Rattus norvegicus: one gene and its partners. Each later gene encodes a partner of the first gene's protein in a complex. Links are inferred from orthologs where the notes say so. Each region holds a gene or a part of one and is shown on either strand. Other genes may lie near its edges. The genes, in order: Dhx16, Scnm1 and Srrm1.

Region 1 (3,647 bases):
CTTGGAGCCCAGTCTGCGGCAGCGGTCCTGGAGCATCTCGCAGGCAGCCTCAATCTCCTCCTGAATATGGAGCAGGATGGCAGGAGACCTGGAGTCAGTCATAGGACCCACACACCAGCCCCATCCTCCCCGAAACACTCCAACCACTTCCCACCACAGTACTCACCTGTCCCGTTAGGAACACCAGTATATCCCCAGGGGGCTGGGTCACATGGATCTGCAGCACAGACACCACACAGGCTTCCAGGTAGTCAGCCTCTGGGGCCTGGGAAGGAGGAAGACACAGGGTCACAGAAGGGCCACTTGCTCAGGCAGGCTCTTGTCCCTGCTCAATGCCCACCCCTCTCTGGGTGTCCATTAGACCCTTCCATTGGGACATCCTCCTAAGCCAGCCCCAGCTCCTCTGCCTCACACGGAAGCCCATCCTCCCGAGGGGCACCTTGGTATAGAAGATGTCAACTGGAAACCTGCGTCCAGGGATTCGGAAGACAGGGGCATCATCGAAGAAGGCAGAAAAACGAGCAGTGTCCAGTGTGGCCGAAGCCACCAGGACCTTGAGCTCAGGTCGGAATCTAGCAACATCTTTGATCAATCCAAAGAGAATGTCTGTGTGCAAGGTCCGCTCATGAGCTTCATCCACCATCACCACACTGGGGAGAAAGTGGGAGATTGGTGAGGGACAAGCGGCAGGGGCTTAGCAGTGCAGGGCTGGATCAAAGAGAGGGATGGAGGGACCTCAGGGGGAAAGGGGACTGAGTGGGAGGAGGCTAAGGAGAAGTCAAATGTTCCAATTACGTAATGTTGGCAGATGGTGAGCATGGTGGGGGGTTCTGTGATCTGCGGCCCATCCGGGCACTGGCCAAGAGAAGCAGTCAGGACGGGGCTAGTAACATGGCTCAGCGGTAAATGTGCTGGCCACCAAGCCTGCCGACCTCAGTTTGATCCCTCGAATGCACATGGTGAAAGTACAGAACTGACTCCTATAAGCTGTCTTCTGATCCCCTACATGTCCACACATACACACACACAAATATATACACACGTGCACACATACACACACACATATACACATACATATATACACACATATGCACATGTGCGCACATACATACATGTACACACATACACACATACATATATATACACAACTGCATACACACACATACACAAATGCACATACATATATATACATACACATACATACACACAAATACATACACATACGTGTACACATACACACACGTACATACATACATACATACAAACACAATTGTATACATACACATATACACATACATACATACATACACACATACATACATATATACACACCATAAGTACACACTCATACATACATACACACACACACATATACACACACACACACAATTCTTTTTCAAATATAAAAGAACAAAGAGGCAGGGAAGAGTCTAGATTCCTTTAACCTAGGATTAGAACAAGTCAGACATCTCTGGATCAGTCAAGAGACAGCTGTTCTCACTGGAAGAAGTGGAACTAAGAACTTAAAGCAAACAGTGCATGGCCTGGTGGCTCTTCTTGTACTCTCAGCAATGTGACCCACGAGACTGAGGCCAGCTAAGGTTAGATAGTAGATTCCGGGCTAGCCTGGGCTACAGAGAAACCCTGTCTCAAAACACTAAGAACAGATAAGGGCCACCTGGACCCATTAGAATAGAGAGAGATTAAAGGAAGCGAGAATCTCTGAGGGGGAGGTGGGGCATCTTGTGCAAAGCATACACACACACACACACACACACACACACACACACGCACACACACACACACACACGCACGCACACGCACGCACGCACACGCACACACACACGCACACACACACATGCACGCACCTGTAACTTGCGAGGTCAGGCTCAGAGAGGAACTCCCGGAGTAGCATTCCATCTGTCATGTAGCGGAGAACAGTTCGCTCTGATGTGCAGTCCTCAAACCGGATGCTGTAGCCCACCTGGTCACAGACAGTCAAGAGGTTGGAATGACCGATGACCAGACCTGAGGTGTGGGGCCATGCCAGCAACGTAAGAAGCTTCCCTCTCACGAATCCCCAAAGACCTCACCTCATTCCCAAGCTTCACCCCCATCTCCCGGGCCACTCGGGCTGCCACACTCATGGCCGCCACTCTCCGGGGCTGGGTGCAAGCAATCTTCATACCCTTCTTGGTGTAACCCTAAGAGGAGAGAAGGAGGGGTTACTCCTCTGTTAGACATGCTGTTGTGAGCCAGGCAGGGCAGGGAAAGGAGAACAGATGGGATGAAAGCCAGAGAAGGACAGACAGACAAGAGAGAAGCCAAGGGCCCCCGGGGATGCTAAGCCAGCCTGCAGACCTTGGCTTATAGGCAGGGCTCTGCTGGACTTGAACTGACCAGGGACAGATTGGCCGAGGCATACCCAGAAGCAATGGGAGACATGCGGTTAAACAGTAGGAAAACACCTTTTACTTTTAGTTCTCTGGCCCCTGCAGAGGGAAAGCAGGGCCGAGGTCGTGCGGGATGGAAGCCCAAGAGGTTCCAATCTATGATGCTCATCTCACTGCTCCCATGGGAGACCTGCACGTTCACAACTCGTACCAGGTATGGATGTGATGGCGGGGAGAACAAAATGGTAGAAAGAGTGGCCTCGTCAGTCTCAAAAGCCTCATGACTTAGCAGAAAGGACAGGAAAGGACATCTTTACCATCACACAAAGGGGGTCTCCCAGGACTGACTCAAGGGCTGAGTGGGCCCTAAGTGACATGCTGTAACGACTGACCTCCTCAAAGAGGTACTGTGGGATCTGTGTGGTCTTCCCTGACCCAGTCTCGCCCTCGATGATGAGGACCTGATGGTTGGCAATGGCGGTCAGGAGCTCCTCTCGGAAGGGGAACACTGGCAGGCTGCGGCGCACGGCCTGGATGGACTCCTTCTGCTGGGCCTGGGCTGACAGGGGCGGGCCTGATGACGGCTCCTGAGGAAAGGACAGAGGTGCTGAGGTCCCCACCACCTTGAGAGGCCCTCCTGTCATTACCCCGGACTTTCTCCCTCTCACCTCGTCGCCCTGGAGCTGAGCGGCACGGACGAACTCGATGGTCTCGTCCTCCTCCAGCACCAGCTGGTACTGGGGTTCCTGGGCAGCAGCGTCTCGGGCCCCAAACTTGAGGGATGCGGCGTCCAGACGGGCCTCCTCCCAGCGCCGCTGCTCCTCGCCCGGGGCCCCTGATTCCTCCTCGACGATGTCGGTGGCTCGAGCGGGCTACGGGGAGAGCAGCCGAGAAAGCTGAAGAAGACCCTCCCCACCACTGCTTCTACCAGTTATGAACAGGAGAGGGAAGGGAGCAGCCACCACACCGGTTCCCTCACCTGTCCTCGAGTCTCCTTGGGCATGTGGTAGCGATTAGTGGCCTCCAGCTTCTCCTGCTCGCCAGCCGCCCGGTACTCCCGAGCCAGGTCCCGCACACGCCGCTTGTACTTGAGCTCCCGGCGCTCATGGCGGCTCAGCTCCACGTCCCCAAACAGGACCTCCTCATCAGCCAGTTCTGCCTCCAGGTCCTCCAGCTTTTCCCGCTCCCGCTTTGCCAGGTATTCCCGACGAGACTTCTTACGGAGCTCAGGGACCTGGGTCAGGAAGGAACAGT
Region 2 (3,747 bases), on another chromosome or scaffold:
CAGCCTGGAACAAAGCAAGTCCCAGATCCAGGAGTGGTGGTCCACACCGTCATCTGAGCCACACCTTCTGTCGGAGGTCTACATAAGGACGTTGGAAGTAGGAAGACTCACTCTTCTTCACCTGCTTGCACTGACTTGCCAGCACATCTGTTGGAATCTACGTCCACAGCAGACCAGCTGAAACAACTAGCCTCATGGGACTGAGCAACTCCTAGGGTCTTGGACTTCCCATCCACAGCTACCCTTTTTTGGGATAGTTGGAATGTAGACTGTAAGTCACCACAATAAATTCCCTCACTATAGAGAGACATTCTATACATTCTGTGACTTTAGAGAACCTGACAAATACAGTTCTAAGTTTTTGTATTAAGACTTTCCAAAGCTAGGCATGGAACTGCTCACCTTCAATCCCAACATTTGAGGAGCAGAGACAGGCAGATCTCTGAATTTAGGCCAGCCTGGTCTAAATAGCAGGGTTCCAGGATAGCCAGGGCAACAAAGAGAGACCCTGTCTCAGTAACAAAGGAACAAAAAAGTGTACTACCATCCACCATTCCCTGCTAATGTTACTAGTTTTTTTTTTTTTTAAAGATTTATTTATTTATTATATATAAGTCTACTGTAGCTGTCTTTAGACACACCAGAAGGGGACATGAGATCTCATTACAGATGGTTGTGAGCCACCATGTGGTTGCTGGAATTTGAACTCAGGACCTCTGGAAGAGCAGTCAGTGTTCTTAACCACTAAGCCATCTCTCCAGCCCCCTCTTTTTATAAAAATGTATTTATTTATGCATTTTTAAATATGAGTGCTTTGTCTGTATGTACATCCTCACACCAGAAGAGGGCATCGGATCCCTTTATGGATGGTTGTGAGCCACTGTGTGGTTGCTGAGAATTGAACTCAGGACCTCTGAAGAGCCCCTTATGTTCCTAAACACTGAGTTCTCTCACCAACCCTTAATGTTACTATTTTTAAGTAGGATTATGCTACAATATTCCATTTCCTAAAGTTTTATTTTAAAATCATTAACTGTCATTAAAAAAAAATTTCCACAAGATTAGTATTTCTCAGAAGACAGTTTGCAGAGTAATAACTTTAAAGTCATCTATTTGCTTCTACCCTTTTCCACTCCTGGCTTTCTCATTCCACTGACCTGTGCTTCCTCCGGCAGCAGCTGTTATAGTGGGGAGCTCTGTGTAGAGCATTCTGGGTGATTATTCGAGTCTGGGTTAGCAAAGGAGCCTGACAATGAGAGAAGAGAGTGAGTCAAAGCTGTCAGAAGCAAATGGCCCCTCATGCCTGTTGCGTGCAGTATAGCCCCGTCTAAACAACACTGATGCCCTCACCTCAGTTTTGCTTTCTGTCTTCAGTTCGTTCTGCGGTCGTGGATTTTGCTCTGTTCCCTTGCCTGACTGCTTTTTTCCATAGAAAAGCTTCAGACCTAGGAAGAAGAAAAGCAAGGGAGAATGAAAAGATTTTGCCAAAATGTCAAGAGTTCATTCTCTATCTCCCGCCCTCCCTACTTCTCTTAACTTACTGGATAGATGCTTCTTGCCTGCACGGTGAGCTGTCAGCATGGCCAGGGTGTCCAGTACTGGTCGATGGGGGCAGATGGCACAAGCAAAGCTAGGGAAACAAGAAAAGTGAATTATAAGTGTGTGTGCGTGTGCGCGTGTGTTTTGTGTTCCAGCCTGCAGTCGCGGTGTACTTGCTATGGTGAGTAGATCCTACTTCTGTCATAGCACTCCTCCAACTCCCAGGTTTCCCAATCTCCACCCCTTCACTTCCAGCCAAAGAATACTATTATACTCCTGAACTCCTTAGTAACAAAAGTTTGTTGAGCCTCTGATCCCCGAATCCCCAGGCTTGATCCACTCTTCGCTCTCACCGTCCATCCCGCAGCATCAGCGCCTCATCCTCGGGGATGTAACTAGCTAGCAAGTCTCCAACTCTTCGTTTCTGCAGGAAGCAGGATAGAAGAAATGAATGAGAGGAACGGATGGATATTAAATAATACAGAGGAGTCAAATGGCACGGGGCCATGCAGATCATAGGGTAGAAAATGGGGTCACCTCTCAGTTCTGGTCCCCTAACACCCTCCCCTAGATGTCGCCAAAGCAACAAACCAAAGCAACAGGGCGGCTGAAGGTGATCAGGTGACTCTCACTAGGGCTTACTTTGAGCACATTGAGCTGACTCCAGTCGTCCCCTTCCCTCTTAAAAGACATCGCGACTATGAGAATATGATAAATTCTACGCCTACTTCGCTGCTCCTTTAGGCCACCGTAGGAAGAGTACACTATCGCCTTCTCTGCTTCCGGTTTCTTTCTGAGTCTGTACTTCCGGGGATGCTTTTCCACGCATGCATCGCGCAAGCCGGAAGACCCGCCTCCAGCGCCCTGAGGGGATCTGTATTTCCTATGATACTGCCTGGACGCTGTGCCTTTTGGGAAATGAAGTCTTTTGGTTATCTATTTTATTTTTTAATTTTTTTGGAGAGAACACCGCTCACCTGGACACAGGTCCTCGCATCTCGAAGGATCCAGGTGTTTGGAGACCCAAGATCCTGTACGTGGAGCCGGAATTTCAGGGTGGGACCCTCCTGAGGTGGAGGGAGGCTTCGGGGGATCTCAGTGGACTCTATATTGCAAACTTGTAGTCCTCAGGCTCGTCCTCCTCAGCCACAACCTACCTGGGGTGGGTTTTATTTGGAACAGAGAGGATGTGGGGGCTCCCGGCGTCCTGACTGTTGGATGTAGGGACACACTGAGGGAAGAGTGTTAATGAGGGTGTCTAGGGTTCAAAGGTCAGAGATCAGGCTTGCGAGGAGTTGGGGAGGGGGCGTCGAAAGTCCACGGGGTCAGCGACTGACAACTCAGGGAAGATATTTATGGGTAAGGGGCTTGAGGAAGAAGAAATGTAACCGGCCTGGAAGACTTCTTAAGATACGAACTGTAATTCCGAGCTCCGTAAGAAGCATCGAGAGGAGGAGGACGAATGTAGTCTCTCGAGAGTCGGGAGACTGAAGAGAAAAGAGAAAAAGAATTTTCTGAATATCCATTCTCTGGGTTCAGCCGTCACTGTTGGTCACTTAGCTGGGCTTTCCTCAGTTGTGACCCTAGATCTTGGAAGTGAGGAGATGGCTTCGCCCTCTAGACAGCCTCCCCTCGGAGGGTCAGGGCTGCTACGTGGGAGCCGTGCTCGTTCTTATGGAAGCCTGGTACAATCATCCTGCTCCCCAGTGAGGGAAAGACGCCTGGAGCATCAATTGGAGCCTGGAGACACCCTGGCTGGATTAGCACTCAAATACGGGGTGACGGTGAGTCTTCCAGGATTGAGGTAGTCCCCAGGAGAAAGTGGGTGGCCCGCTAAGCAACCACCTCTGACATTACCCAAATTATATTATGGCCTGTTTTTTTCTTATTTTGCTTTCACATCTTTGTGTAGTACTATTGGGCCAGATCTGCCCAGCTATCCCAGTGGGAGGAGCAGCTCCCGTGAAGGTGGGTGAGTGGGGGCGGGGCTTTCAGCCATTAACCAGACCTTGTGCCCCTATCAACTTAAGACTGATAAACCAGTTTGATCAAGGTCAAATCACTTGAGTGTCAGAAGAAAGGTCTGTCTGACTCTAAAGCCCATGCTATTAGCCAAGCAGGGGGAAAAATAATGAGAGTGACTAAATCTAAATTTACAGAAGTAAAGAAGAGCTGACTTTTAGTAGAGCTCCTAAGGCGCCTTCTGTA
Region 3 (3,647 bases), on another chromosome or scaffold:
TTGTCTCGATATATAAAAGCAGTGTTACAGTTTAGTTATTTTATTCCGTAACTAACATGCACCAATTTATCCTGTAGGGATAACCACTACATTTTCTTACAGCCAAACAAGCCACTTTGGTCCTTTGAGATAGTAACTTTGGTGGGGGGTGTGGGGGCTTTTGTTTGGTTTCAATTTGTGTCTATAAAGTCTTTATGTAATCTAGACTGGCAGTCCTGTCAGTAATGTGTTCTGTGGTAGGGAATATATACACACTATGCAGGTGTCTACAGGCCAGAAGATGCATCCACTCTGGAGCTGCAGTTAAACGTGGCTGAGCTACTCATGCAGGTACCGCAAACCAAATTACATCCTCTGTAAGAGCAGCAAATGCTCTTGACCACTGCACTGAGCATCACTCCAGCCGCTGTTACTTTATGAATTTTAGAATGTCAGGTGTTCAACACTCTGTGCCCAATTCAGTAGTTTGTCCAAATAACTACTAGTTGGGGTTGTCAAGTACAAGAATGTAACTCAGGGACACAGGGCTTGCCGGGAAGTTACAATAGTGATTTCCTCTTTGAGTACTCTAGCAGAGAGTGTTAGATCCAGTTCTCATGGCTATGTCCTGGTGTCTGTGACAGGATTTATAGTATTAAATAAGTCATAACTATTCTAATCAGTTTATCAAAATTCATTTAGTATATAAAACAACTAAGCCTTAAGGGTTTGTTTCTTTGATGGGCCTTTTCAAGTGGCCTTTGAAGTCAATCCATGGTAAAAGTAATGATTATATTTTTATATACTTGGTTGTATTCAAGATTTATTTTACGCTCATGAGGGTTTTTCTGCATATCTGTGAGAGTACCACATATGTACCTGGTGTCCACAGTTCAGAAGACCCCAGATCCATCCCCTGGAAGTGGATTAAAGCTAATTATAAGCTGCTGTGTGGATGGTCGGAACCAAATCCGGGTGCTCTTAACTATGGCTGAGCCATCTGAACAGCCCCATGGGTGCTCCTAAGAGGAGAGAATGGTCGTGAGATCAGTGTCCTGAACACAGAGTCTTGGGTTCCTAGTCCCAGTTTGCTCAGTTGTCTCTGTGTTTCTCAATGTGGTGATGTAATTTTACTTAAAGCTTCCAAAGAACTCTTCTAAAAGGGGGTATGAGAATGAATAGAATCTTATTTTAGCAACAGTGTTTATTAGTATACATATCTGGGTTTGGTGGTTCATGTGTGTAATCCTGGTTCTCTGGAGTTTGAGGCAGAAGGATCACTGTGAACTTGAGGCCAACCAGGACTAGGTAATGAGACCTGATTCAAAACAAAACCCAGGTATATATGTCCCAGGAAGTTTTCAAAAGACATACCATAATTTTCCAGTTGATATGAGGTCCTTGTGTGGTTCATTCTCTCACCAGAGTGATTCTACTTTAGAAAACCAATTTCCCTCGTGGGAACTTAAATCTGGTCTGGCTGTCTTATGCTGTACGGGCAGCCCCAACCCCTTCCTTTCTCTTGGGCTTTAGGGAGAGCCCCTTCTTCACTCTTAGTCTTTAACATCTTCTGGGTATGGTGAAGGTTTTGTGTGGCTAAGGAGCCTTTGGCCTCTTGGTTAGATAGCCAAATACTCTTTCCTAGACCAAGTAACTTTTCCTGCGTGAGTTTTAGTCTTTAAAGTAGAGCAGGTGTAGGTAGGTTCATTAAGGAAAATTAAGAATGGAGACTCCTGCAGTGGGGGGGGCCTTGAAGGAAGAGCACCCTGGTCCATCTTGGTTTCCTTTTTCCTGCCAGACAAGCTCTGGCACTGAATGTACGTACGTACATACGTACGTACGTACGTGTGTGTGTGTGTGTGTGTGTGTGTGTGTGTGTGTGTGTGTGTGTTTGCCTTTGCCTTTGCCTTTGCCTTTGCCTTTGCCTTTGCCTTTGCCTTTTGTTTGGTTTGGAACAGCATCCCAACCCCACCTTTGCTCCACTGAAGGAGACTTCCGAGAGTCTCCTGTAGTTCTCTTGGGAAAGGCTGGAGATTTGGAACTGGTTGCCCAAGGTTTTTAAGTTATTACCATTATTTTATGTGAATGAGTTGTGCATGTTTGCAAATATGCATGTTCCCACGTCTGGTATGCATGTGTCCATCAAGGCAAAGACATTTTTTTAATGTACAAGTGGGGGTTGGGCCTATGGAGTTGGTTGCAAGTGCCCCTGGAAACCAGAGGCACAAGATCCCCTGGAACAGGAGTCACCTGTGTTTGTGAGCCACCAGTGTGGGTGGTGGGGGCCACACTCATCTTTTACAAGAGCAGAGTTCAATCTTGACCACTGAGCCAAGGCCTCCAGTCCCTAGAGAGCAACATAATTGTTTTTGTTTTTAAAACAGTTTTTGAGAGTTGATGATTCTCTTCTACCTTGTTGAGGCAGGGTCTCCCTACTCTCTGCTGCTGTGTGTATTCAGGCTAGGTGGGCCACAAACTTGCAGGTTGGTTCCGCATCCTCACCTCCCACTGCGCTTGGGGTCCTGGGTTACAAGTGTGTGCCTCCAGCTGATTTTACTGTGTGGGCCGTGAGCAGTCAGTGCGGGGTTCTCGCTAGCCCTGTAGGACTAGTTTTTGAGGCTTTCTGTGTTAAATTTTTCATGTGAAGAGTCTGACCCATTCTTGTACTATTAAAACATTGTTCTTTTTATTGTGTGAGGTTTTTTTTCTATATTTTTTAGTGACAAAACATAAAGGCACTGAGAAAAGAGAGTCACCTTCTCCAGCACCCAAGCCTAGAAAAGTGGAGCTGTCTGAGTCTGGTAAGTTGTATTGACTTTCTGGAGATGGTTTTTATCTTTCCTTCCATATGTGACTATTCCCTGGGGTTGGAGATTCATTGTACAGGACACCACAGTAGGGAAGAGCTGAAAGTGACATCACATAGACTTTCTGAGATTCCCAGCTCCAGCCTTTAACTGTGCTCTGTTTGGTCTAAACCTCATTCTTTTTCTTCAGTGTTTAGACATAATTTGGGGTCTTGACAGCTAGCTGGAGTGTTTGCAGAATTGATGTCTCCTAGACTGACCTGTGGTAGTGTAGCCGAGTGCCTGTTGTGTTGTACTGCACTACGTTTCCTGTGTCTAACTAAGAAGCACTTTCCAAACATACCCATCTTTCAGAGGAAGACAAAGGCAGCAAAATGGCTGCAGCTGATTCTGTGCAGCAGAGGCGACAATATAGACGACAGAACCAGCAGTCTTCATCTGGTATGGACAACAAGCAAATACTTTGTACTCTCAGACTTGTGATAACCGTAGCACTGGGAAGCTAGGGCAGGGGAGTTCCTGTAGAGTGTGAGGCCAGTGAAGGCTACATAGTGAGAGTCCCCAGAAGAGCGAACAGGAAGACTCCTACGATGCTGTCCTTCAGAAGGTGAAGGCAGGAGGGCGAAGTCCAGTTACTCTTGGCTGTGTGGTAAATTTGAGACCAGCCTGGACTACATGAGACCCTGGTGTTCCCCCCACCCCCTTTAAAATTTTATGCATATTTGTGTTTTACTTGCATGCATTGTTCCCACCATGTTTATATCTGGCCCCCACAAAGAAACCAGAAGACAGGGCATCAGATCCAGTGAGAACATGGATGGTGGACACTGTGAGCCACCACGTGGGGGATGGGGATCAAAC

The links.
Region 2: Dhx16 (region 1) and Scnm1 share a complex: the UniProt entries of both Homo sapiens proteins name them as parts of the minor spliceosome. The link is inferred for Rattus norvegicus from reciprocal best matches to the Homo sapiens genes DHX16 and SCNM1.
Region 3: Dhx16 (region 1) and Srrm1 share a complex: the UniProt entries of both Homo sapiens proteins name them as parts of the minor spliceosome. The link is inferred for Rattus norvegicus from reciprocal best matches to the Homo sapiens genes DHX16 and SRRM1.

What each region holds. Positions count from the first base shown.
Region 1 is NC_086038.1:2,873,144-2,876,790, forward strand, and holds part of Dhx16 (pre-mRNA-splicing factor ATP-dependent RNA helicase DHX16), read right to left. Parts: intron 3,628-3,647; coding exon 3,373-3,627; intron 3,266-3,372; coding exon 3,062-3,265; intron 2,981-3,061; coding exon 2,786-2,980; intron 2,677-2,785; exon of another isoform or gene 2,469-2,676; intron 2,205-2,468; coding exon 2,094-2,204; intron 1,985-2,093; coding exon 1,869-1,984; intron 651-1,868; coding exon 440-650; intron 266-439; coding exon 167-265; intron 89-166; coding exon of another isoform or gene 61-88; coding exon 1-60. UniProt on the Homo sapiens protein: Required for pre-mRNA splicing as a component of the spliceosome. Contributes to pre-mRNA splicing after spliceosome formation and prior to the first transesterification reaction.
Region 2 is NC_086020.1:185,391,480-185,395,226, forward strand, and holds the start of Scnm1 (sodium channel modifier 1), read right to left. Parts: upstream 2,344-3,747; 5' UTR 2,233-2,343; coding exon 2,182-2,232; intron 2,130-2,181; exon of another isoform or gene 2,077-2,129; intron 1,964-2,076; coding exon 1,893-1,963; intron 1,631-1,892; coding exon 1,542-1,630; intron 1,446-1,541; coding exon 1,351-1,445; intron 1,247-1,350; coding exon 1,158-1,246; intron 1-1,157. Other genes in the region: Lysmd1 (lysM and putative peptidoglycan-binding domain-containing protein 1), read left to right, coding at 3,144-3,323. UniProt on the Homo sapiens protein: As a component of the minor spliceosome, involved in the splicing of U12-type introns in pre-mRNAs. Plays a role in the regulation of primary cilia length and Hedgehog signaling.
Region 3 is NC_086023.1:152,854,901-152,858,547, reverse strand, and holds part of Srrm1 (serine/arginine repetitive matrix protein 1), read left to right. Parts: intron 1-2,699; coding exon 2,700-2,780; intron 2,781-3,140; coding exon 3,141-3,227; intron 3,228-3,647. UniProt on the Homo sapiens protein: Part of pre- and post-splicing multiprotein mRNP complexes. As a component of the minor spliceosome, involved in the splicing of U12-type introns in pre-mRNAs. Involved in numerous pre-mRNA processing events.